Rattus norvegicus: one gene and its partners. The protein of the gene in region 2 interacts with the protein of the main gene of each other region in a biochemical or structural test. Links are inferred from orthologs where the notes say so. Each region holds a gene or a part of one and is shown on either strand. Other genes may lie near its edges. The genes, in order: Erbb4, Ptpn11, Cdc73, Frs2, Sirpa, Kit and Insr.

Evidence for each region.
Region 1: the proteins of Ptpn11 (region 2) and Erbb4 form a complex in vitro, tested with the Homo sapiens proteins (2 studies listed by BioGRID, with this or other methods). The link is inferred for Rattus norvegicus from reciprocal best matches to the Homo sapiens genes PTPN11 and ERBB4.
Region 3: of the proteins of Ptpn11 (region 2) and Cdc73, one has a biochemical effect on the other in vitro, tested with the Homo sapiens proteins (2 studies listed by BioGRID and IntAct). The link is inferred for Rattus norvegicus from reciprocal best matches to the Homo sapiens genes PTPN11 and CDC73.
Region 4: the proteins of Ptpn11 (region 2) and Frs2 interact in a test that uses a peptide from one of them, tested with the Homo sapiens proteins (2 studies listed by BioGRID, with this or other methods). The link is inferred for Rattus norvegicus from reciprocal best matches to the Homo sapiens genes PTPN11 and FRS2.
Region 5: the proteins of Ptpn11 (region 2) and Sirpa form a complex in vitro, tested with the Homo sapiens proteins (2 studies listed by BioGRID). The link is inferred for Rattus norvegicus from reciprocal best matches to the Homo sapiens genes PTPN11 and SIRPA.
Region 6: the proteins of Ptpn11 (region 2) and Kit form a complex in vitro, tested with the Homo sapiens proteins (3 studies listed by BioGRID and IntAct, with this or other methods). The link is inferred for Rattus norvegicus from reciprocal best matches to the Homo sapiens genes PTPN11 and KIT.
Region 7: the proteins of Ptpn11 (region 2) and Insr form a complex in vitro, tested with the Homo sapiens proteins (2 studies listed by BioGRID). The link is inferred for Rattus norvegicus from reciprocal best matches to the Homo sapiens genes PTPN11 and INSR.

Annotation. Positions count from the first base shown.
Region 1 is NC_086027.1:76,980,634-76,983,120, forward strand, and holds the end of Erbb4 (receptor tyrosine-protein kinase erbB-4 precursor), read right to left. Parts: intron 1,047-2,487; coding exon 601-1,046; 3' UTR 501-600; downstream 1-500. UniProt on the Homo sapiens protein: Tyrosine-protein kinase that plays an essential role as cell surface receptor for neuregulins and EGF family members and regulates development of the heart, the central nervous system and the mammary gland, gene transcription, cell proliferation, differentiation, migration and apoptosis.
Region 2 is NC_086030.1:41,024,843-41,028,878, forward strand, and holds the start of Ptpn11 (tyrosine-protein phosphatase non-receptor type 11), read left to right. Parts: upstream 1-1,236; 5' UTR 1,237-1,412; coding exon 1,413-1,426; intron 1,427-4,036. UniProt on the Homo sapiens protein: Acts downstream of various receptor and cytoplasmic protein tyrosine kinases to participate in the signal transduction from the cell surface to the nucleus. Positively regulates MAPK signal transduction pathway. Dephosphorylates GAB1, ARHGAP35 and EGFR.
Region 3 is NC_086031.1:57,965,532-57,969,031, forward strand, and holds part of Cdc73 (parafibromin), read right to left. Parts: intron 3,396-3,500; coding exon 3,317-3,395; intron 1,009-3,316; coding exon 944-1,008; intron 1-943.
Region 4 is NC_086025.1:54,598,657-54,602,156, forward strand, and holds part of Frs2 (fibroblast growth factor receptor substrate 2), read right to left. Parts: coding exon 3,112-3,500; 3' UTR 1-3,111. UniProt on the Homo sapiens protein: Adapter protein that links activated FGR and NGF receptors to downstream signaling pathways.
Region 5 is NC_086021.1:137,287,054-137,290,553, reverse strand, and holds part of Sirpa (tyrosine-protein phosphatase non-receptor type substrate 1 precursor), read right to left. Parts: intron 813-3,500; coding exon 453-812; intron 1-452. UniProt on the Homo sapiens protein: Immunoglobulin-like cell surface receptor for CD47. Acts as docking protein and induces translocation of PTPN6, PTPN11 and other binding partners from the cytosol to the plasma membrane.
Region 6 is NC_086032.1:32,912,813-32,916,312, forward strand, and holds part of Kit (mast/stem cell growth factor receptor Kit precursor), read right to left. Parts: intron 2,302-3,500; coding exon 2,195-2,301; intron 2,098-2,194; coding exon 1,971-2,097; intron 1,700-1,970; coding exon 1,595-1,699; intron 1,494-1,594; coding exon 1,383-1,493; intron 1-1,382. UniProt on the Homo sapiens protein: Tyrosine-protein kinase that acts as a cell-surface receptor for the cytokine KITLG/SCF and plays an essential role in the regulation of cell survival and proliferation, hematopoiesis, stem cell maintenance, gametogenesis, mast cell development, migration and function, and in melanogenesis.
Region 7 is NC_086030.1:6,126,004-6,130,184, reverse strand, and holds the start of Insr (insulin receptor preproprotein), read left to right. Parts: upstream 1-1,381; 5' UTR 1,382-1,729; coding exon 1,730-1,829; intron 1,830-4,181. UniProt on the Homo sapiens protein: Receptor tyrosine kinase which mediates the pleiotropic actions of insulin.

The DNA of each region.
Region 1 (2,487 bases), on a different chromosome or scaffold from region 2:
CACAAAAGCTGGATTGGCCATTCTTACTTGCCAAGAAAGAAACTATTGGAGAAAGAAATTGGCTTCTCAATCTCAGTTACTATCAAATGGTGTCCAACTGCTTATCTTTTTGTTCTAATGGAAGCCTTAGAATGATTTCAGGGATGCTTGAATATGCACAAGACTATGGCTACAGATTAGAACAGAGTCTGGGCTTCCGATCATCACCAGCATTGATAGATTAAAGGGAGATGGGGACAGGGAGAGAAGGAGGGAGAGAGTGCAGAGTGCAAAGAGAACAAAGATGGGGCTCTTTGACAGCAGGCGGTATTGGTATTGCCTTACACTTCCTAGACCTTCTCTAGCTCTGACAGACACTCTGTTAACCAACCCATATGAAGAAATGAAGAAACAGTGTGTGCCCCTCTGTCTTTCTCTTTCAGTCTTTCCTTCTAATATTCAAGTTAGGTAAGCACGGAACTATCATTGCGTCTCTACGGCTTCCACTCGGAAGTGTCAAAACTACTGGCCTTGGGAGAAGAAGGAAGACTGCCAGAGAAAGAGGAGGGAGAAGGGAAATGGAGCGGGTGTGTGTTTCTCCACCTAACACTCTAGCTGAGCTCACACCACAGTATTCCGGTGTCTGTAGGGCGGAGGGGGCAGCATAGTGCCTGGCTTCAGCGAGAACTCTGAGAGGTACTCAGGATTCTCTGCCACAATAGGGCGGATCCGTCCATTCTGTTTATAAAAATATTTTGTGCTGTATTCCTGCAGGTAGTCTGGGTGCTGAAGAGTGCTCCGGGGTGGCAGGCTGTGGTTCCAGTAGTCGGGGTTGTCAAATGCTTTCTTGGCTTTCTCTGGCACAGACAGTAAGCTGTTTTTCATGTACTCTGCATTTCCCAAGGCGTTGGTGAAGGTGTTGAGATAAAGGGGCTCATTCACGTACTCATCCTCTGCCTTGGGGGGACCGCTGGAAGCGCTGTGATACTCTGGATTATCTAAAGCTTGAAGGTCTCCATTCTTCCTCCGGGACACAAAAGGGTTCTCTTCCACAGGATTCAGATATTCTGAAATAATACAAAGATACTACGTTCAGACATCTACTTCTGGAAAACCATAATCAGGTTAAAGTTAACAGCAATGGTCAGTTTCTTTAGAACAAGGGAGCTATGAATTTGTTTTCATAAATTCTCAGACAAAATGAAACAAAGCAAAACAAACAAGCAAAACAAAACAAAAACCTGAAGATTTTATCGGAATGTGGAAAGAGAGTAGGCTCAAATGAAACAAAATAGTGACAGAAAAGTTAAGGGCAGAATCCCTGTATTTTAAAATATTCTTCTCTTCTAAATGCACCTAAGTGCTTCCTTTTATTGGGGCTGTTAGGATGGTATACTTGTTCTGCTAGTGGAGAAAGTGGTTAAAGGCTTGCGGACTTTACAGCCGGCCCGAGTTTGGTTCCCAGCATCAATACAAGACCACTGATGACAACCTGTAACTCTAGCTCCAGGGGATCTGATGCTCTCTTCTGGCCTCCAAGAATAACAGCACACATGTGACATAAACACAGTTATGAACACAAAGAGACACACACACCAATGCACAGATATAAGCACGTATACATATAAAAACAAACTAAAAATTTCCCCAAAATACCCTCTAGACAGAAATTTTCATTTCTGTTTATTATCCATCTATCATTTATCTAAGCTATCATCTATCTGTCTATCTATATGTATCTGTCTACCATCTATTCTGCGATATAGTCATCAAAACCCTCATTATACGATGTTAGGTCATTTAGGGATCAGTCGCTTCTGTTTTATAAACAGTGAACAAAGTCATATAATGATGATTTCATAGGGTTTCACACAGTTCTCTTCTAAATGCACCATATATGGCTTCTAATGACACTGATGGATATCATCCCGATTCCTACATTTAATAACCATTATTTCTCTTCTCCGCTTGTTGTATGGATATATTAGAAGGAAAGAGAATTTTTGGGTTTGATTTTAAAACTGAAATGTTATTTAACCTGGGTGTTTAACTTTTCTGTGTTTATTAACTCACAAACTAACAAACAATCTTCAAGATTGTGGTATGGGTAAGTGCATACAGAATCAAATATTATTTTCAAAGTATCACACACACACACACACAAATCACAATTTCCTATGGTAAACTTAGTTCTTATAGATATTTGTAAAATACTGGGATCTAAATCTGAGTTCTCTTGCGTGCTAAGAAAGCAGTCTACAACATTCACACCCCAACCCTAAGCTAGGGGAGTGAAATTGCATGGTTTAAATAAATCAGCTCGTTTATCATTGGCATAAAAAATTTTGGCCCTTTGCCAGTAACACCTGTCTTTCCAACCTCCATGCCAACTTCAACAGAGCAATGGTTCTGAAGTCCTAGAATATTATAACTCATTCAACTACTACATTAAAGATGGCGTTAGGTTGCCATATCTCAGGCTTCCTTGTCTAATACATCACTTCAGGA
Region 2 (4,036 bases):
TATCTAACAGAGACCCCACCCCAACCCCCAGAGTAGTGCACTGGTACTAACAAATTTGGACATTCAAAAGAGAAGTTATGGAGTGTTTCTTTGAAGTGGAAAAGGTCAAATTTCTTAATTTAGAAAAAGAATCGGGGGTTGGGGATTTAGCTCAGTGGTAGAGCGCTTGCCTAGGAAGCACAAGGCCCTGGGTTCGGTCCCCAGCTCCGAAAAAAAGAACCAAAAAAAAAAAAAAAAAAAAAAAAGAACCAAAAAAAAAAAAAAAAGAAAAAGAATCACTTGTCAGGATTGCTAATCCCAATATGGGTGAAACGGCAAAAAGAGAAGAAAACCGTGCTCATCTTACTTCAAGCTGTCGAAGTATGGCCATGGCATATAGGTTTCTGTTCTCAAAAACAAACAACTCCCCCTCCCCACCCCCCAAAAAAAATCAACGGGAGGCTGGTTAGATGGCTCTGCAGTAAAGAACGCTGTTTTATCAGAGGTCGTGGGTTTTGCTCCTAGCACCCACATGGTGGCTCACTGCCATGTAACTCTATCAGGGACTGTTGTCCTCTTCAGACCTCCTTGGGCATCAGACACACACACACAGTTACACACATACTTACACGCAAGGCGACTACTAATACACTAACATTAAAAAAATATAAAAAGCAATAAATCTTTTTTTTTTCTTTCTCTTTTTGACAGGGTCTCCCTACTTAGCTGTCCTGGAACTCCCAATACAGACTAGGCTGGCCTCGATCTCACAGTGATCCACCTGCCTCTGCCTCCCTAGTGCTGGGATTAAAGGGTACACCACCTTGTGAGGCAAAAGGAATAAATCATCAAACATTATCTATAAATGTGTGGGTATGTGCACGTGCCCGCGGAGGATGGCGGATCCGGTAGAACTGAAGTTACAGGAGGTTGTGGGCTGCCCCATACAGGTGCTGGGAACCGAACTCGGGTTCCCCCATCCTCCGCTTATTTGTTTGCTTTTCACGTGTGCACCCGCACTGGATGCGTAGTGTGTACTCGCACTAATGTGCGGCGTCCCAGATGAAGAATCTCCCTGGCGTTCAAGTCTGTAAACCGCACAGATTAGGAGGAGGAGGCCCCCCTCCCCAACCTCCAGCACTGGTCAGGGCCCTGCAAACCGGAAGCAGAAAGTGGCTGTGGCGGCGGGCGTGATGACTTCACGTCGGCGCCGGCGGCAAGGGGCGGGGACGAGGGCGGAGCGAGCCGGGCGGCGGGGCGGCCGCGCAGTGTCCGGGATCCAGGCCTGCCAGGGGTTGTGCGCGCGGCCGGCCGGCTCTGCCCGCTCCCGTGTCGGCTCCCGAGCGGGGCCTCACTCGGCCCCCTCCATGTGACGGCGCCTCGTGGAGCCTGAGTGAGCAGCGGGTCCGTGCGGAGCCGGAGGCGGGAGGAACATGACATCCCGGAGGTGAGCCGCCCGCAGGAGCCGGGCCGCGGCCTGGGTCCCCGCCGCTTCTGTGTTGCGCGGCCGCTGGGGGTTACACTCGGACTCCCCACTGGCGCGGCGTCCCCGCCGCCCCACCGCCCCGCCCGCGGGTCCCCATTCATTTCCTGCCGCCCCGAGTTCCTGCTCCCGCGACTCGGGATGCCCGTGGGGACACCCGCGGCCCGGCCGGCCGTCGCATTCCTGACCCATTGCCTCATGAGCGTCGCCTCCTGGGGATTCCGAAATAACCCCGCGCGCTCGGGGAGGCGCCCGGGCCACCGCGGGGCCTTCACACGGGACCCTTTCAGGTGCCCCCTTTTCGCCTCCTCACCCTCGCCCCAAGTGCCAGAAGTGGGAAAACTGAATCTGTCTGCAGCCTCTGGGAGTGTTCCCAACCCCACTGTGATCTTTGCTTTGAAAGGTGGGAGGGAAGGGAACTGTATCTGGTCGTGGAATTGTTCCTTCGGGTAACGAGTGCGTTCCCGTCTTACGAATGTGGAAACTGAGGCTCGGAAGTAAAGTGCTCGTCACAGGATAGGATTGGAAGCTGAGATCAGGAGGAGGATTAGTGAGTTTCAACTTCAGAGACTCAATTATTGACATTGACTTCGCTCTTACTAGAAGCCAGCTTAACACGTACCGCAGTGGTACGAGGTGGGTGGTGGTCTCCCTTTCTAAACATGGACCAAATTGAGTTTTCCAGAATTAAGTACATTGTGGCCTTTTACCTTGGTAAGAGGTGGAAAGAGAATCTCTCATTGTGTTGCCCAGGTTAGCCTCCAACTTACATTCCCGTTACCTCTCAACCTTGTAAGTGCTGGGGTTATACAGTCTGGATCACTATAAAAGCTTGTTTTATTTAGTTTTAAAATCAGCTTTATTGAGATAAGTTGCTTCTGATCCGGCAGACAACATGATAAACCTTGACATCTGGGAGATGTCACCACTCCTGGTAAGGTTTTCTCAGCTCTCTCTTACCAGTCCTCTGCTCTCCTTCGACCACTGTTTGGTTGTTACTTTTCTAGAATTTTGTATTAATGACATTAGACAACTATGGACTGTTTTTTTTTGGGGGGGGTGTCCTGATTTTTATTATTGAAAGTTTTTTTTAACATGTATTTATTCATTGTGTGTGGACCCAAGGCATGGTATGCATTTGTAGGTCGGAAATTGATACATGGAGATTGGCTCTCACTACCACACAGGTTCCAGGGATTGAACTCAGGTTGTCAGGCTTGGCGACACGTGCCGCCACACCCCGGCGTAGCGTACAGCGTCCACGTTCACAGATCCATCCATATTGCTAGAGTTCTATTACTCGGCTGCTGCCAATTGTATAGCGTTCCCATTGTAGGGCTGTTTCCTTTTTTACCCTTTCTGACAGACCTTTGGCTGTCTCTAGAATTTGTCACTCACATGTGATTCTGAGAATGCTCCTGCAAAGGCCTCAGTATGGTCTCACCTCTTCGGTGGCCATCTACAAGTTGAATGGCTGAATTTACTGTGTACAGGCACTTGCAGCCTGCCCACAGAAGGGCTGTCACTGTTTACTTTCCAGTCTTACTCTGTGAGGGCTGCATACAGCTTGTCTGTATCTTTGAGTTCTGATTTCCTAGTTTTATAAAGATCTGTTTTGATTTTGCATGTATAGGTAGCTTGCAAGCATGTGAATGCATGTGTATGCCTCATTCCTGGGGTCAGTAATTGATTACTGTGTGAAGTGTGGGTTCCTGCTCTCTATTCCATGGGGCTCTCCAGTTGTCCCAGCACAGCTGCTGGGGAACCTCTCCACAGGTAGAGTCTGCTCCATTGTTGAAGGATACTTGTCCTTCATGTGAGTTTGTTTCTTGACTCGGTTCTCTTCCATGGATTTTTCTGTATCTTCACGTCAGTCCCGAATGGTCTTGGTTCTTTCTTTCTTTTTTTTTTTTTTATGTTTTTTTGTTTAATATTGTGTGTGCACGCACAGAGGTCCGAGGAATGTGTCAGAGCCCTTGGACTTGTAGTTAAAGGTGGTTTTAAGTTGCCTCACACGAGTGCTGGGAATGAAACTTGGGTCCTCTGCAAGAGCAGCAACTGTTTATAACTAGTACACGTGTTTTGTTTTCTCTCCTCTCCATGATCTCAGTTATTGACTCTTTCTCCCTCTTTCTTTCTCTCTCTCTCTCTCTCTCTCTCTCTCTCTCTCTCTCTGTGTGTGTGTGTGTGTGTGTTCGTGTTCGTGTTCACATGTGGAAGTCAGAAAACAATTGCATCCTCGGGATGGAACTCAGGTTGTTAGCAGTGTACGTTTTCACACTGAGCTATTGTGCTGGCCTGAGGAGCTAAGAAGGCTCTGCGTTCTGACGGGGGATTCAGGGAAGGTCTCTTTGAGGAAGTGATCATAGGAACTGACACTTGGATGGCGAACACCATATTGATGTTTGTTTTACTTAATCATCACGGTAAAGCTGGACAGGGTCTCATCATGTCATACCAGTTGGCCTAGAACTTTCTACGCAGAACAGGCTGACCTTGAGTGCTCGGAGCCACCTGCCTCTGCTTTGGCGGTGCCACTGTCTCTAGTCCTAAAACAGTTCATTTTGGTTAGCA
Region 3 (3,500 bases), on a different chromosome or scaffold from region 2:
TGTCATGTGACATCTATAAGTCTCTGACAATTCACAAGCAAGGACAAAACTAAGTAATGTTCTTAGTTCTAAAGTACATAAACACTTAATGCATATGCATAGATTATTTTTAAAGTATAAGGGCTATGCATCAGGATATAAAAATACAAAATGACATTAATAGTATACCCGACTTACATCATCAAATACTATCATTTACTACATAATAATTAGAAGTGTTAAGGAGAAGTTGGCCAAGCTATTTCTGAATAGCTACTACTGTTCCAGCTACTCAGGAAGTTGGAGTTCAAGCCTTCTTTAAGTCCAAATGAAAACAATATAGAAAGAGTCATAAAGACAGTGTAGGGGGACTCATCAGACACAAGAGTGAGAAAGGAGACGGAAAGAGAGAAGGAGAAAGGATTGAAAAGAAAAAAAAGAGGGAAAACAAAAGAAAAAAACAAATGAGCTAGCTAAAAGTCTTTGAATCATTCATGAATATATAAACATTTGGTTCCATCAAGAGTTTTAATAAGCATTCCCTCAAGTACTACTCTCTATTTACTAATTTAATTTGGCTAATCTGGAGACTGATCCCATGTCATTGAGCAGTCTGAACATCTAGTGCCATTCTAATTTTTCCAAAGTGAATTACATTTTAAAGAACATAAGACATTAGATTTTTAAAAAATAGCCAGTATAATCTTTAACAACATCCCAATGACACAGCATAATGTAATCATAGTTGCAATTAGTCAAAATACATATAAATTCTGCTCAGATTAGAAAGAAAAAAAAAGCATAACACTAATGAATAACATATCTATCACACAAATCTATTAACACTACAATGGTCATTAAAAATAAATATTTCAAGGAAAAAACGCTAGAGAATAAAAATTTACCATCTGCTACTCACATAAAACACCTGGAACCAACAAGCCCTGCAGTCATAACAACTTACCGTGACAGATTTCAGCGTCATGCCATGGTAGGTACCCATAGTATCGATCTTAAAACCTTCCGTTTCTACAAAGACAAAGAATCTACTATGATTTATGTATTTCAAGATTAAAATTTCAATCACAATTTACATTACAACTAACATAATAAAGCCTTGAATATACTATACAGTTTATCAAATATTTCAAAGGATTAAAAATCCTAAGACACTTGCAAAAATATATTCAATAAATGCCAAAACACTTATTGCATAGAATCTGGTTCAGATTACCTTTCAAATTTTGTTTTTAAAAAGTCACACCAAAGAACTAGAAAGAAGGCTCAGCAGTTATGAGCAGTAGCTATGTTTGGAAAAAAAACAAACAGGTAAAATTCCCAGCCCCCACTATCAGCCCACAACTACTTTAACTTCAGTGTCAGGGAATCTGATTCCCTCTTGGGCTCCATGAACACCAGGCACATATGTGGTGCACAGACACATATAAGCAAAACATCCAAATACATAAAAATGAAATAAAAAAATTAAATACTAAACAAAAAAACAGAATAGCCTTATTTTTACTACTAGCTACTAAATGGTTTATATACTAAAAGTATATAAAATAGGAAATTCCTAAATTACAAAAACTTTGGTTCCAAAGTATAATCTAAGGGATATATTGTTATACACTGAGTAGAAACTGGTGCTCTAACAAGAGTTTTTAGGTACGCAAGTGCAACATGCTGTCTCCTTCCTCGCTCCTTCCCCCTCTCCCTCTCTCCCCTAAAATTAAACATTTAACTCTATACATACATACCACTTTAGCTTTCACTCTTGTTATGGTCAATTAACTAATGGCAGTCAATTTGGGTGTTTGACAATATTTTACCAGGTGAAAGAATGATATAAACATACGGTATGTATGTTATTGAAATAAAATATGCACTCCTTAAATTCCATCAAGGTTACGTGACTATCAGTGAAAGAAATTTAATTGAAAAATTGTTTTCATAGAGTATATGTTCTAATCTTCTTATGAAAGCTCATACAGCAAGTATTTGTGCAAACTAGAGTCCATATGCCTTTGTGTCTGTCATCTGTAAGATTTTGCAGTTGTGGTGTAGAAACAAGAAGAATCTATGTGTATACTTGGAGAAGCTAGAGTTGGGCTTTATAAAATTAGATATGCTATGAAGAGCTTTATGTAATTCATTCCTTCCAAAACACCAAAGTGAATAAAAGATGGATCCCTATCTTTCTGTGGCACCTTTATCTGGTAAATAAAGTCAGCACACACAATCCTTTTTAAAAAGTTGCCCAGAGACTTCAGATAATACAGAAAAAGATAGCAAATGTTCAGTTGTTTCTATCTCAAATCTTCCTAAGGGCAGTCAAGATGAGTGAAGTTCTCAAGTGAAACTAGTGAAAGTTTACCTCACTAACATTCTGCTTATCAGAAGTGGCTCCCAATTATATTAGCTACAGTGTCAATCAGGCTGTCACAAAATAAGCTCTCACACTTTGCTGCAAGTCTATGCTTGGAGCATAACTATGAATGTACATTCATAGTTAGGGAAATTAACACATGACATTTTACATCCCCAAATTTTTTATATTCAAAACTAGCATCAATAATAGCAAACATTTGTGAGTAGTTTATTATATTATCAAATATTACACTAGGAACTTCATCTTTAGCACCAGGTTTATCCCCAAAGTAACTATGAAATAAGTTGATAATACTATTAATAAATATTTAATTAGAGATGTGAAATAAGAGAACACAGTCCAAATAACAATAAAATCTACACAAAAATTAACTGAGACACACACAAACCACCTGGATCCAGAATCAAAGATACAACAAGTGGTTAACCAACTTTGTTCTTGTAAAGTCCAAATACTATTTTTAGGTATTGCAGAATGACCTCTGTCAAAACTACTCATCAGAGCTGTCAGCTATAGATAACACATAAATGAATAAATATGGCTAGATTTAAGCAACAATAACAAAAAAAGCTTTTATTACAAAAAGAGATGACTGAACTAGACTTGTACTACGGAAGTTAATTAACAAGCCTTATTCTTTTTTTTAAAATATGAGTACACTTCAGACACACCAGAAGAGGGCATGTGATTCCATTACAGATGGTTGAGATCTTAACTGTTGAGCCATGTCCCCAGCCCTGACAAGCGTTATTCTTTTCTTTTTTTTTTTTTTTCTTTTTTTTTTTTTTTTTTTTTTCGGAGCTGGGGACCGAACCCAGGGTCTTGCGCAAGCGCTCTACCACTGAGCTAAATCCCCAACCCCAAGCGTTATTCTTAAATATCACGCTATACTACCACTAAAGTTCATCATGACCATGATTAGAAGACACAGGATAAGCAACTTACCTTCTTTGCCTTTGAATCTTTCTTGGTCATATCTGTTGTAGGCAGCTGGAATAGGCTGTTTTGTACGCAATGTAGGATCCTAGAAAAAAAGTTGCTAGTTAATATCTTTAAGTATTACTTATTTAACACTCACAATGAAAAACTGATAGGGCACTTATAAAATAACTGTAATTATCAATACGGC
Region 4 (3,500 bases), on a different chromosome or scaffold from region 2:
TACTTCTGAATGGTGTCTCTAAAGAATATATATATATAATATGTATATATTTATACATACGCACTACACATTGCACAAACACTTGGGTATTGTGGGTAGAAGACAGCACATGGGAGCTGGGAAGTACTTGTTAGCTCGTTAAACCTCTGCCTTGAGGCAAATACATGGTGGCACATTGCTGGGAGTTATGAGAACGTAAGGCCCCTGTCCCATTTTTAACAGAACTTTAGTGAGGTACATTTTATACGCTGTGCCACAGATTCGGGTGGGTGCAGTGGGAGCATAAACAAACACGTTTGACTTATAACACAGTGCACAGTGGAGGGGGCAGCATTAATATCTGTAATGGCAAAGATTGCCTGGCAAATGCCCTAAGTCGGAAATGCAGCCTATTGTGGAGATACTGAGAAGTGAAAAGCTTAGCATTTGCTGAGTCTTCAAGAGTAAAGTGCATGTCTCATCACCTCCACAGCAGCAGGAGATAAAGGAACGGCTTTCCAATCTTCTTGGAGAGAGGGAGGAAGGGAGGAAGGAGGAAAGGAGGAAAGGCACCATATTTTCACTTTTCAAAGGAAGATGAAACTGGGAAACACAACATTCAGAAAACACTAGTGATACCCATCAGTTTCCAGCCCTGGTCTGGAAAAGAAATGTTAAGATCTATATGGACTAAAAAAGGATTTTATATGGGGAGAAAAAAGGGAGCAGGGATTTTATTTCCAAAACCAAAAAGTGGGGTCACATGATCTAATCAACAAAACCAATTATCTAAAATTAGGTTTGCTTCAGAAAATCTGAGACATATGGCTACAAATACATGCCAGTGAAATGTCTCACTCTAAAGTTTACCAAATAGTAGCAGGTACATTCTTCCAGGGCCGAGCTCAATGTCACTGTGAGACGACTGTAAAGGATACAGGTATTCTGCATGACTGACTAAACAGAAACAAAGGTGGTTTCCAGAAGACATCTAGAAATTAACATCCCTGTTTACCTCTTCCTAATATTCATGCTGTACCCTAAAATCAAATTCTTAGCAGATGAAGCGGTCCCATTTGCACTCTTAGGCCATATACTACTTGAAGCACAAGTTGTAATGGTGGTATTGGTCAGCTAAAAACTATGACTCTAAGTTCAATCGGAAGGGAAGCCAGGAGCACAAAGGAAGAACAGAGCATCCAGCCCAGAGATAAGAGTCCTCTGAGGTGGAGAGTTACTCCTGTCTGGCTGCTCGTTACAGAGGAAGTCGTACGCTGTTCCCGTCAGTGTCCTTACCCCACGCCACCAAAACCACCAGTGAAATTTGGCACAACTAGCAAACTACTCAGGAGAAGGACAAACTACTCAGGAGAAGGACGAGTGGGGAACAGTGTATTAACCATGGAAACAGCACATGTAGCCACTACTCTCTTGAAGAGAACAGTCAACATTTTAGTTCACAGAGGGAAAAGGAAAAGGAAACGCCTGCTATGCTATAAACCAATGGCACTAAAGATGAGCACATGTAATTCGCTTCTCATGGCCTCAGTCCTATTCTGCTAATCCAGGCACTGTTCTGTGCTGAGTTCCTAAATATACTGAACGTCGGATGACTGAAACCTTTTTTTCAGTCACATCTGGTATAACCAGATCATAACACGAAACGTCCTCAACTTTAGAGAAAACAAGTAAACTATTTCATAAGGCTGCCTAACCTTCCATTTACTATACAGTGGTTTGGGAGTGTTCTTGATTTCCAAGAGTTCAAAATCTGGGATCACATCAGTTTATATAAACTTTATTCATTTCACATTCACGATTATGATATAATCGAACTGCTTCAAGACTTCCCTGTACCTGCTGTGCTGGCAACATTATCAGCTCGCCAACATCATGGATAAGAAGAGCCCAGCCCCACATGAGAGGACAGCAGAGCCGGCAGAGTGGGACTGCGGCCGTGGAGCTGGGACAACCCCTGCTAACATGCTGCACAGGGTATCCCAGAGAGGACAGGACCCTTGGTGGGGACCCAAACCTTTAAGAGTATCTTCCTTTTCTTCTCAGCTACTAAAGAGATTACCCATGGACACAAATGAAATTCAAAATCCAAATGATGCTTTTGTCAGCAACTTGGAAAGTAAACAGCAGATGAATAAATACTGGACAAGGGTAACCCTGTCAGAGAACAGCTCCAAATGGACCTTCAAGACCATAACTGAAAATTCAGACTAAGTAGTGAGAGCAAACACACAATCCCATTCCAAAATGGTGCACAAACATTGTGTTGTAACTAAAAGATATTCTATAACAAGGCAAGACAGCTGCAAGATGGAAGGGGCTAAAACTGAAGCTCGTGGGATTCAATGGCACAGATGTCTCCAGAAACAATGTGTCAATAACCTATCACAAAGAAACACCAATAGATCATGGTGTAGACTTTCAAATGTTTTTGGGTAAAGTGACCTGAGACTGATTCCTAAACCCATTGTAACTCTGAGTTAGATGCTATCTGCCTTCAAATGACACCAGGAGGCGAGAACACGGCGCTGTCTCCCTTCTGCCTTCCGATACACAACTAGACTGGGTTCTTTCTAGTGACAGTGAGGACAGAGGAACTAACTGGCACAGAAGGAAGTGTGGCTCTCTTTGTTTCTTTTACACAAGTGTGGCCCAGGTCAAAAAGCCTTTAACTGATGAAATAAATCCTCACCTTGCATGCTGGAGACCATAACCTGTGAACAGTGACCTACAGGATTCCTCTCAGGGCCTAGCGTTATGTTAGCGATGTGCACTGTCAAGAGACTTTATAAAAGGTTCAAATGCAACCACAACTTCAACATGAAAGATGCACACACCCAGAACACTGAGTCTACGTCAGCCAGTATGCACTCCCTTCCCTTCTCATGGTAAATAGGCACTGTAAAAACGAGGACGCTGCTGTACAGCGATGAGCACAACATCATGAATTAGTGAAGTACCTGCTCTGCATTAATTCCCTTTAAAGATGCACAGGAAATACTCAGGGAAAACAGATCAGTCTACAAAAGGAGTTAGTGTAGAAAGGAGAACAAGCGCTGCCTCTTCCTGGTGGAAAGCTCGCGAAGGTGCAGACGCCGACATAATGTGTCCGGCTCACATGGGCAGGTCAGTACTATTGTGTCTAGTCTTCCTGGACGTGCCGTCATCCCGAGGCAGCGCTTTCTGCAAGTTGGACATAGCAGCAGTTCTCTCAATGTCTATCACGGCATACAGCTCTGTGCGCCGGGTGGGGGTCTGTGGGAGGGGAGTGGTCGGTGTTTTTGGGGTCTGAGGGTTGTCAGAGTCACTGCCCCCTTCCAAGTCCACCTGTATATAATTGAGTTGCCTGTGTTCTAAACTAGGGCGCCTGATATCAAAGTTAAAGACTGTGGGTGTGCAATCCCTACGCCTTGAACAGTCTATTTTGTGAGCACTTGCCGGCACTGTTACATTCTCTGTATTAACATAGTTATGCATTGGATCTAGATTATTATGGTAGCCAT
Region 5 (3,500 bases), on a different chromosome or scaffold from region 2:
TGGAGGGGTCCTTTGTGTCCTGACTGACATGTGGGAGAGCTTTCTGTCACTGACAGGCCTCGGGTTCTGAATGGAAGGGGCTTCCTGAATCTCTGTGAAAGTGATGTGTGGAGAGGCTGCATCTCCTAGAGGTTCAGTGCTTCCTAGGTCCTGGGCTCACCTGTGGGGATGCCTAATACCTGGGCAGCAAGGAGCCTGCTGGGATCTGCATTCTGGTACTCATGGTACTTGAACCGTGTGCAAGGAAGAGAGGGCCGTGGGGCGGGCAGATGAGGGATGCTAATGCCCTCTTACTTGCTAGCACTGGAACCTGGAGCTAACGATTGGCCTTGACGTCCCTGACCTGCTGAAGGTTGAGATCAGATTGTGCCCTTGTGAGCCACACTCACCGGGATGCTACTCTCTGACCTAATGCTACACCTGAGGGGATGAGGAAGGCACAGCCTACTTACCGAGTACATAGAGCGTTGTTCCCCCTCCAGATTTAATTTCTGTGTCAGGCTCTACTATTCCTTTCTGGAACTTCACACAGTAGTAGGTGCCAGCATCTTCTGGGGTGACATTACTGATACAGATGCTAAAGTCCATATTGTTTCTCTTAGTAGCATCTGAAACATTTGTAATTCGAGGAAAGTGTTCTCCTCCTATGAAACTGTAGATCGGGCTCCGATTTTGCCCTTCTCCTTTGAACCACTTAATGGGTCCCACAGGCGTCAGGGAGGACACAGTGCAGTTCAGAGTGGCCGAATCTCCAGCAGCAACAGACACTGATTTGTCAGCCTGAGTCACCTTCAGTTCTTTCCCGCTGGCTCCTGGAGAGAAAGATGGCAGCCATGATTCACCTTAAGGGATCCTACAAGCTCAAGTTTATCAATGGTTTTCACTGATTGATCACACACAGTGGTATTGAGTTCAGCACAATGTTCGGCATGTGTTATCCCCCACATGAACCTGTAAATCAAGACTGTGGTGAGAAAACTGGGGCACAGAGGGCTAAGTCACATGGTTTGGTGTAGTAGAGTGCCCAAGCCCTTTGGGGGGAAATGTCCTATCTGAGCTGGGCTCTGAAATTCAAATCTGAATTTGTCAGTGAAAATGTGTACTGGCTGGTTTTGTGTATCAACTTGACACAGCTGTAGTTAATACAGAGAAAGGCGCCTCCCTTGAGGAAAGGCCTCCATGAGACCCATCTGTAAGGCATTTTCTCAATTACTGATCATGGGTGGTGCCATCCCTGGGCTGGTAGTACTGGGTTCTATAAGAGAGCAGGCTGAGCAAGCCAGGGGAAGCCATCCAGGAAGCAGCACCCTCCGTGGCCTCTGCATCAGCTCCTGCTTCCTGCCCTGTGTGAGTTCCAGTCCTGACTTCCTTTGGTGATGAACAGTAATGTGGAAGTGTAAGCTGAATAAACCCTTCCCTCCCCAACTTACTTCTTGGTCATGATGTTTTGTGCAGGAATAGAAACCCTGAGACAAAAATGGGAGCCTGAATTCCCCCACAGAGGGCACAAACCCAGAAGTAGGAGAGCCCAGTATGTGTGGTACTTTTCAAAGAGGTAGATTCTGTACTGGAGATGGAGTCCTGAGCACACAGCAGTCTCAGTGGTAGGAGAGCTGAGAACCTGGGTCCTAGGTGTGGCTCAGTAGCGTGTGGCTGAATCATGTGGAGTCGTCATTAGGTCAACAGAGAAGGCCCAGGTGCTCGCCCTCTGCCAAGTACCATGGGGATGTGGATATGGCTTCTGCTTGAACAGTTTTGATGGCCCTTAGCCTCTGTCTCTGTGGAAGGTTTTGCAGGACTCCCATCTGGACGTACTTCTAATAGGAACAAACAAGCTGAGGCTGGTGAGTTAAAAAGCAGCGTCTGGTCTGGATGGCTCAGCGGTTAAGAGCACCGGCTGATCTTCCTGAGGACCCACGTTCAATACCCAGCACTTACATCAGGTGGTCTGTAAGTCCAAGTGCGTGCACACACACACACACACACACACACACACACACACACACACACACACACACACACATGCATATACAACACTTACTTACACATATACACAATTAAAATAAGTTATTTCTAAAAAGTAGCATCTAGGGGATAACTCAATGGATGAAGTCCTTTCGATCCAAACACAATGGTTTGCTAAACGTATGAATGTAGACACTGAGCATTCAGACACATAGACATTAGAGACGCAGTGGTCCAGAGGGGAGGACAGGAGAGGGAGGATGAGGACAGCAAGGGTGGCAGACTGCAACAGCGAGTCAGGTGATCTTGGTCCCCAGCTGGACTCTCCACCGGCTTCTAATGTGACTCTGTCTACTAGATGGCTATAGGAGGATCCTCGGGTAGCCCCTTTTGTGTTGGCAGGGTAAAAGAGGCACTGTGTGTTTGCCCATCCTCCAACCCCTGGTGTTGTGTACTATCAAGGAGAGAGGGTCTAAGGCAGGAGAGGTCTGCTGTCACTGCGGGCCCAGAGCCCTGGGATGGGCCTGTCATCAGTTGCTCACTGTCCTGCCTCACCTCTTTCCCCAGTCAGGTTTTCATGGCAGATGTGAGCAGATACCGCAAGTAAGAGCCTGGGAACGGCCTGATTCTCACAGTACAGGGAAAGAAGTGAGGCCTGTGGAAACAGGGGCTCAGCCAGCATCAGCCAGCCTAGAAGGGGTAGGGCCAGTGGCCTGGCAAGTGACAAGACGCAAGGAGGGAACAGGCTTGACAGACACGAAGCCTCCCAAGAGCATCAGTGACGTCACCAGCTCCTGCCAATAGCAGGGAGCCATGGATATTTCCCAGTGGGTGTACAACTAACCACGCAAGACCGGTTGAACTGGAACCACCACGTGCGCAGGCCGGGCCGAGAACAGGGCCCCTTTGCCAGCTCAGTATTCATAAATGGATTCACCAGCAGGCAACTGGTGTGTACACTCTGCTTTGTCATGAGGATTGTTCCAAAGCTATACATAAGCACCTGCTGTATACTTTATGGCAATTCTAGTTCTAAAACCTACCATCACATTGCTGTATTCTTTATATACCCAGTTTGCTGTCAACTGCTATTTTCCCCACCATTAGGATAAGTAGATCCACTATGAACTGTTTCTTGCCTTCTGCCTGGTATATACTGTGTCCCCGATGGAAATGGGCTCAAGAGGCAAGTGGATCTCTGTGATTTCCAGCCCAGCTAGGAAGACCCTGTCCCCAAACCACATATATGCTGAACATACTGATGAAGTGAGAAAGAACAGGTTTTATTTGCTCTATGGCCCTGACAACACCCCAAGTCTCTTCTTTCCTTCATCCGTTCAGTGGCACTAACATTCGTGGCTACCCAGGAGCTGGTGCGCCGTTATTATTACCCCGTCCTCAACAGCGCACACAACTGTGAGTCAGCAGCTGACGGGGAGCCGTGCTCAGGGGGAACTTGGGAATTGGGCTCCGACAAGTTGGAGCAGGGCTATTCTTGTGCTGCAGACAGAGGCCTGTAATCACACCCCAGGCAG
Region 6 (3,500 bases), on a different chromosome or scaffold from region 2:
GTGGCCATTATATCCATCTTCAGTGGCTAAGCCTTCTTAGTCCCAACATAATTCTATCTATTAGCATCGCTTATCACAAAAGGCAACATGGCGGAGAGTGACACAGGACAAGCAAGCCCCTTTCTACCTGAGCGTCTAAATGACATGAACATTCGGGGCCAGGCATGACTGCTGGCTTGGCAACCACAAGTGACTGCTTTCGAAGGCTCTACTATGATCAAGTATCCTACAGGGATCCTTTGATTCACTTCTGTGTACGGCAGGCATGGTTCTGCCTCCTTGCTGTAATGTTACTATGAAAATGAAGGACTCATGCTGCAGCCTGGTAGGAAGTAGCCCCAGAGCAGCCAAGCCCACAGTGGAGAGTGGGCGAAAAGCCTGAAATGACCCGGTTTCCTGAGCATTACTACTTGAAAACAGAGTTGTTGCTTGGGAATGTTTAAAGAGCGCAGTTTTAACAGGCCACTAATTGAGTAGAAACTGCCTCGTGAACAACTCATGGTGTGTAGAAGCACCAGTTACAGGGGCTGTCTGGAGACACTGTCTAGAGCTGCCTACTGTCCCGTGGTCCTCCCTAGACAGACAGCAACAGCTCACCTCACACTCCTTTGTTTCCTGTAGGACAAACAAGAGGCCTTCTGGAAATGTCAAGACACCCTCGATGGGAACGCTGACTTAGGGGCAACAATTGGAAGCTTGTTTTTAATGGAAGGGAAAAGCTTGTTCTACCTTGTGGTGCATTTGAAAACCGGGAGGCTCGGGGCCCCTCTCAGTTATAGACGGCAAATCAACATTAACTCCCAAGTGACAGATTATAGCACAGCAATAAATAAAGCTACCCCGGCCCTCGGGATGATAGAACCAAAAATTGCATCTCTATGTGCTTACACTGTTTAAGGGGGAGAGTATTATAATTCAACACACACACACACACACACACACACACACACAATATCTAATGAGGAAGGGGTGTGTGTGTGTGAATGGCTCCCCATAAAGAGAAATCCTGTATGCACCCAAAAGTTTGTGGGAGTTTAAAACATTCTACTGAGGGTGCAATAGATGTCCTTTGGACTATAGCGGGGGTTGGGGGAGATAAAAGAATCTGAGTAATGGGCACCAAATATGGCTGCAGTGAGTGGTTCTAACACAGCCACGGCCCACATCTCAAACTAACAAGAGGACAGGAGTCTGAAGGCTCCCAACACTCAGGAATGATAAAAATCTACATTCTTAGGAACACCGTGGAAAACCAAACCCAGTGAAACAGAACAAAGCGCTCGGTTGAAAAATCTCTCTCAAATAGTTTACAATTAAGCACTGCCTGGATCATACTTGAGAGGCGGACAGAGGGCAACAGGCGCTGCAGACCCAAGACTCACCTCCCACGGTACACGCTCCAAGGAGGTTGACGATATTCATGTGATTACCCAGGTAGCTCAGGACCTTCAGTTCTGACATTAGGGCCTCCCTTTCCGTTAAATGGGCACTTGCTAAAACGGGAAACGGTGTATTTTAGCAAAAAAAAAAAGGGGGGGGGACTATTAGACAAACTGGTGGTCGGTACAGAAGTAAGCACCCCGGAGACACTTACGTTTGAGCATCTTCACGGCAACCGTCATGGCGGCATCCGACTTAATTAAGCCATAGGCAGTGGCCTCAACTACCTTCCCAAAGGCACCAGCTCCCAAGGTCTTTCCTTTAGGAAGGGAGAAGGCAGGGTCAGCGGAAAGAACAAACAACAGTGTTCACAAGGTTCCCAAATCAACAAGGCAATCGAAAACACGTGTGACCGGAGCTGCCTCTCCACAGGATTCTTTTCGCTAACCCTGCCAACTTCTGTGCAGTTTGACAGAAAAGCACTTCTTGTTTTAGGTGAAACAAGGCAAGGAAGCCACTGCGGGTTCCCTAAAAATCACAGTTACGTGTACACAAAAGGGCAGCGTGGAAAGCACCTGCTTCCTACTGACCAAAACTCAGCCTGTTTCTGGGAAACTCCCATTTGTGGTCATAAGGAAGCTGCGTTGGGTCTATGTAAACATAATTGTTCCCATTTATCTCCTCGACAACCTTCCATTGTACTTCATACATGGGTTTCTGGAGGAGAAAGGAAAGAGAGATGTGTCACCATTGAATGATCAGCACCTCCCCTGTCAGCAGCAGCGGCCCAGGGAGAGAACAATTCTACGCTCACCTGCAAATATTTGTAGGCAAGAACCATCACAATGATCCCCATCAAGCCGGCTGTGACCACGAAGCCAATGAGCAGCGGCGTGAACAGGGTGTGGGGCTGGATTTGCTCTGCAAGGGGAGAGAATTGTGATTGTGAGCTGACGACGGCCTGGCCACCACCTGTCCCAAACTAAACCATTTCCCTCATGGCGCATGCAGGGAATGCATCTTTCTCTTGCTGTACAAATACAAAGTCTCTCCCTCTCCTTCCTTCCTTCCTTCCTCCCTCCCTCCCTCCCTCCCTCCCTCCCTTCCTTCCTTCCTTCCTGGTGCTAGGGCTGGAACCTGGGTATGTGTTTTGGAACATCACGATGCCCATAACCGCACCCTTACTAGCTGCACAGACCTCTTCAGAGATGTAAGTTGAAACCAGAGGCCAGAGAAACTGACATTTCTGAAGTAACGCACATGATGTTATGCTGTTTTCAATGAAAAGCAGCATCTGAGTGGACCTCCTTTCTGGGTGGTTTACATTTGCTTCTTTCTGCTCTCTTACATTTTCTAAATTTTCTACACTGAATGTAAATGTCTTCCCACATCGAGGGAAGACATTTTTGAAGCATCCTTTTCATTGCTCTGTCTGGGAAAATCAGCAACAGAGAAGGGTGCTATGATTCAGCCCCTCCTCATCCGAAAGCTGAAGATACACAGCCTTTTGGCATGAGTCCTATGGCCAGTGCTAAATTCCACAGAAACTGGGCACTAAAGAAACTCAAGGGTCTCAGATATACCCATCCACCAATGCCTACAAAGGTCATCTGGCCTGCTAGTCACCCAGTGGCTAGATAAAGAGCCTAGGTGACAGAGGCCATCTACATAGCATGCAGTGAGCTCTGTATGAGTCTGATGATGCAGATGGGTAAGCACATACACACATACACACACACATACATACATACATACATACATACATACATACATACAAATAAAATGGGATCTTGTCATTTGCTGACAAGATCATGTAAAGGATATTGTGAACATTTCAATACATATGTTTAACAAAATGTAACGCATCTTAAATAACTGAAATTTTAAATTGAATTTAACATTTCTATTTACTTTTTATTTATTTTTTTTTTATTATACATGTGTAGCTGTCTTCAAACACTATAGATGACTGTGAGCCACCCTGTGGTTGCTGGGAACTGAACTTGGAACCTCTGGAAGAGCAGTTAGTGCTCTTAACTGCTGAGCCGGCTCCCCTTTGAATTAAACAATTTCTTTTTTTTTTTTTTTTTTTGGTTCTTTTTTTCAGAGCTGGGGACCGA
Region 7 (4,181 bases), about 35 Mb from region 2:
TGTGTGTTGAAAATGGAATATGTCTGCCCTGATCCTATATGAAGTTTCTACCGTTGTTCTAGACGCCTTGTTATGTTCTTCTCGGAGTCATTTCTTTATTGATTTCTGCTGGAATTCAGCGCTGGGTGGAGGGGCTCAGGCCAGGGAGCACAGGCTGCCTGCGTTGTGGACACGTGGCTCTGGCCTGGAGGCTGGTGCAGCCACGCTGCTGGGCGGGAGCTCACTGGGGAGGGAACTTGTTGGGCTCCCACTAGCTCCTAGACAGAGCAAGGGTTGGGAGAATCCAGTAAGGCATTAGGAGCAGAGGTTGTAAAGCGAAACAGAATCAAGAGTAAAGAATTAAACTGAATTCCCCACGGGAGTCAAAAAGTAGTAAAAAGAGTAAAGAAAGTCAAGGTCTGCTTGGTCGAATCTGGCATCTGGGGGCATATTGGCGCTCCCACGTTGTGATCAGAGACTCGAGGCTATAGAGCTGTTTGGGATGTTCATGCCCTGAGGAATCTGAGGGGGGCATTTCCAGGCTTTTAAATTGTTATTTCGGGACCATTTGGGGTGTCCGAACCAGGAGGAGATCTAGAGTGAGCTCCAGACCTTTAAATTGGAACCTCGGTGTTATTTGTGTTTGCTGCAGTCTGGAGGTGACCTGGGGGCGTCCCTAGGCTTTTACATTGGAACCTCAGGCCTGTTAGTGGTTTTCGCGTTAGGAGGGGATCTGGGGCTCCCTAGGCTTTAATATATTTGGTTGTGAGCCTAGCCTTTAACGGCTGAGCCATCTCTCCAGCCCTCCCTAGGCTTTTAAATAGGAACCTTGGAACTCTTTGGGGGCAGCTCCCGACGTCTGACAGGGGAGTCTCAGAGTTGTTTGGGTGTTTATGTCAGACTGGTATCTGAGAACACTTACAAGCTTTTTTTTTTTTTTTTTTTGGTTCTTTTTTTCGGAGCTGGGGACCGAACCCAGCACTTACAAGCTTTTAAATCGTAACCTTTCTAAATCGGCAGTTCGGGGTGTGTGGATTGGAAGAGTCTGGGGTGCACGCCGGGCCTCTGAAGTTGGGGGCTCCACAGGAGGAGTCGAAGAGGCGACTGGGCGAGCGGGCAAAGGGGCGAGAAGGCGTGGCATTGCCAGCTCTGGCCACGCCTCCCAGAGCTCCGCTGGCTTGTCTCTCCCTACCCCACCCCCCCCCCCCCCAGCGGGCCTCACTTGTGCGCGCAGTCCCTTCCCTGCCTTAATCCGCGCCACCTTTTCCCTTGGCCCGCGCGGGCCCAGCTGACGGGCCGCGTTGTTTACTGGCCGGAGTCGAGCCCTAGCTCCCGCCGCCGCCACCAGCCCAGGTGCCCTCCCGTGCGCGCGTCCCTCTGTCTCAGACTCCACACAACGCGACCCACCCAGAGCTGCGCGGAGAGGAGAAACGGGAGACCCGGCCAGGGGACGCACCTTGGTGAGCTCTGGACTCTGCGATTGCGGACACAGGACCGGGCCTGGGTGACCCGGGGTTGTAGTCTGCGGGCCGCGCCACAGTGTTGCTTGCAGCCGAGGCCTGTGTGCTCTTCCCAGGACTGTCCCCAGGGCCCTCTAGGCTGGAGATCTGCGGCCCGTAAGCCACCGGCGTGGAAGAGAAGGACGTGCGGCCCCTAGCGCCTGCCTCTCCAGCGACCTTCTCGCGGAGTATGTCCCCAGTGGGCCGGCGTGGCGTGCTCTGATCGCCGGGGTCCCAGCGCTCCTACTGCTATGGGCTCCGGGAGAGGATGTGAGACGACGGCGGTGCCGTTGCTGATGGCCGTGGCCGCGTTGCTGGTGGGCACAGCCGGCCACCTGTACCCTGGAGAGGGTAAGTCTGGCACACGGGGCGATCACAGTGTGTCAGGGACACTCCTCCCACCGCCCCAGCTAACCTAGAGCCCTCACCCTAAGGAGTGAGGGTCGAGGACACCCCCTCTCCACTGCCACAGCCCACATAGAGAACTCTCCCTTTGGGCTGAGTAATGGACACCCTTCCCATCGCTCCATACAACTTAAGAGCACCAACTCCCCCATAAAGGACTCAGGGCACCCATTTCACCACCCCAGCAAGATAGTCCTAAGGACTGAGAGTTATGGACATTTCTCTTCCTCGGCCAACCTAGACCTCCCTCTCCAAGGACTTAGGTTGAGGACTCCCCTAGTGTCCTTGTGTCTATGAAGAGTCCCCTCCCTAGTGAGTGATTACCTTTCCCCTGGGGAAGGGGGAAAAGTGGGCTTGGTGGCCCTGGTCCTGCGTGAAGCCGGCTGACCTTGGCCTTTGCCCGCTGGGTTTGTGGCTCTGTACCCCGCGTATGCCCATCTCGGGTCTGAGGAACCTTGCCCCAGTGCCCGCCCAGCCTTCCGCTGTCTGTCCCCAGTGCACCTCTCAGTCGTGTCTGTTCTTTTCTCTAAACCCAAATCTGCCCTCCGAGGCTCTTTGGGGTTGCCTTAAGTAAGTATGGTTACTGGGGTGCAACAGATTCAGACACCTGAGCAGTTTAAACGCAAAGTCCGGGGTATCCTCATCGATGGAGAAGCGACCCTTTGTGTATAATAAGTTCATGGCTGCCGTGTTTATAAGTTTCTACTTTCAGATGTCTAGAGGCAAAGTCTACATACCTTTGGCCCCACAGCAATCATAGTAACAGTAGGGGTAGCTTTCAGGATGGTTATAATTAGAATGATTATGAGTCTCCAGGCTGGTTTGCCCTAGAACCTCCCAGTGTTCCCCTGAGGCCAAAAGTGTTGCACACCCATTTCACAGAGGGCTAAACTGAGGTTCAGTTAGCGTGCTAAACTCACTCGTTCAGAGGCTGGTCTTATACTTCTGTGCTTGGTTATGGCCAAGGCAGGAGGATAGCCAGTTGCTTGTGGCAAGCCCAGCTATTGATTGAGTTTGAGGCCAGCCTGGGCTAGGTTAGGCACTGTTTGAAAAAAAACAAAAAAAAAAAAAAAAAAAACAAAAAAAATGCAGTGACAAATGCCTTTTGAGTTACTGGTTCAGCTTTCTCTGAAAATGGAAATTAATTACCAGGAGGAAGGGGTCCAGGAGAGAAGGAATTGCAGCTCCTTTGTGAATGAGGGAGGTGTGCGTATTAGGGGGGAGACTGCAGGATTCTGGAACAGATTGGGTTGAGCTTATGGAGTGGATCTGTTAACCTGGTAATGAGGTCCCCAGCATCTGATATACAGAAGGTGCTCAATGAAGGATGGCCATTGATTTGGGGTGTGTGTGTGTGTGTGTGTGTGTGTGTGTGTGTGTGTGTGTGTGTTTGCAGACGCCCTAGGTTGACTTTGGGTGTTTGTCTCTGTCACTCTCGACCTTGTGTTTTGAGACAGGGTCTCTCAATGAACCTAGAGTTTGCTGATTTGACTGTACTGTGTAGTCGGTGAGCCCCAGCCCTCCCGTACCTCCTTTTGTCACTAGGGTTATAGATGTGTCCTGAAGTGCTGGCTTTTATGTGTGTGTGTGGTTGGATCTGAACTCAGGTTCCGATGTTTGGGCAGCAAGGGTTTTCACTTAATGAGCCTTCTCCCCAGTCCATGGTTTGGGTTCTCATTAAGGAAATCTAAGAATTGTTAACATCTACACTGCTCCCTGGGGCTCTTTGGGATTGCCTTAGGGAAGTAGGGGTATGTTGTATGTGTGGCTGTGCACTCGGGCACCTAGTGTCGTCCCTTGAGTTCTGTTTTTACATTCTTTTGGTAATTAATTGTTCGTCTGTGCCTGGATTTCCTGAGTTCAGAAAACAGAGCTTCTGTGGCTTTGTATACCTGCAGGGTTCGCGAGGACGGGGCCTGGTGTTTGTTCCTCACTGATGTTAGAACCTCAGCAGTGCTGGACACGTAGTAGGTGCACATAAATGTTTGTTCCCTACTGGTACACAGAGGACTTGTGCAGTGAGCCTACTGGGTGTATGGCCAGAGTGTAGTGCTCCCCGTGTGCGCACGAAGTCCCTGGATTTCATCCCTAAACTCACAGAAACCGTGTGTCTGCCTGTCATCATAGCAGTCTGAAGATATAGGCAGGTCTATCAGGGGTTCAAGGTCACCCTGGGCTCCGTAGTGGGTTTGAGGCCAGCCTGGGCTACAGGAGACCCAAACGACAATAAATATGATCTCGTGAGTCCTTCCCGCACCTCTTCAGAGCCTCTGGCTTTTGCATGGGAAGAAAGGACAG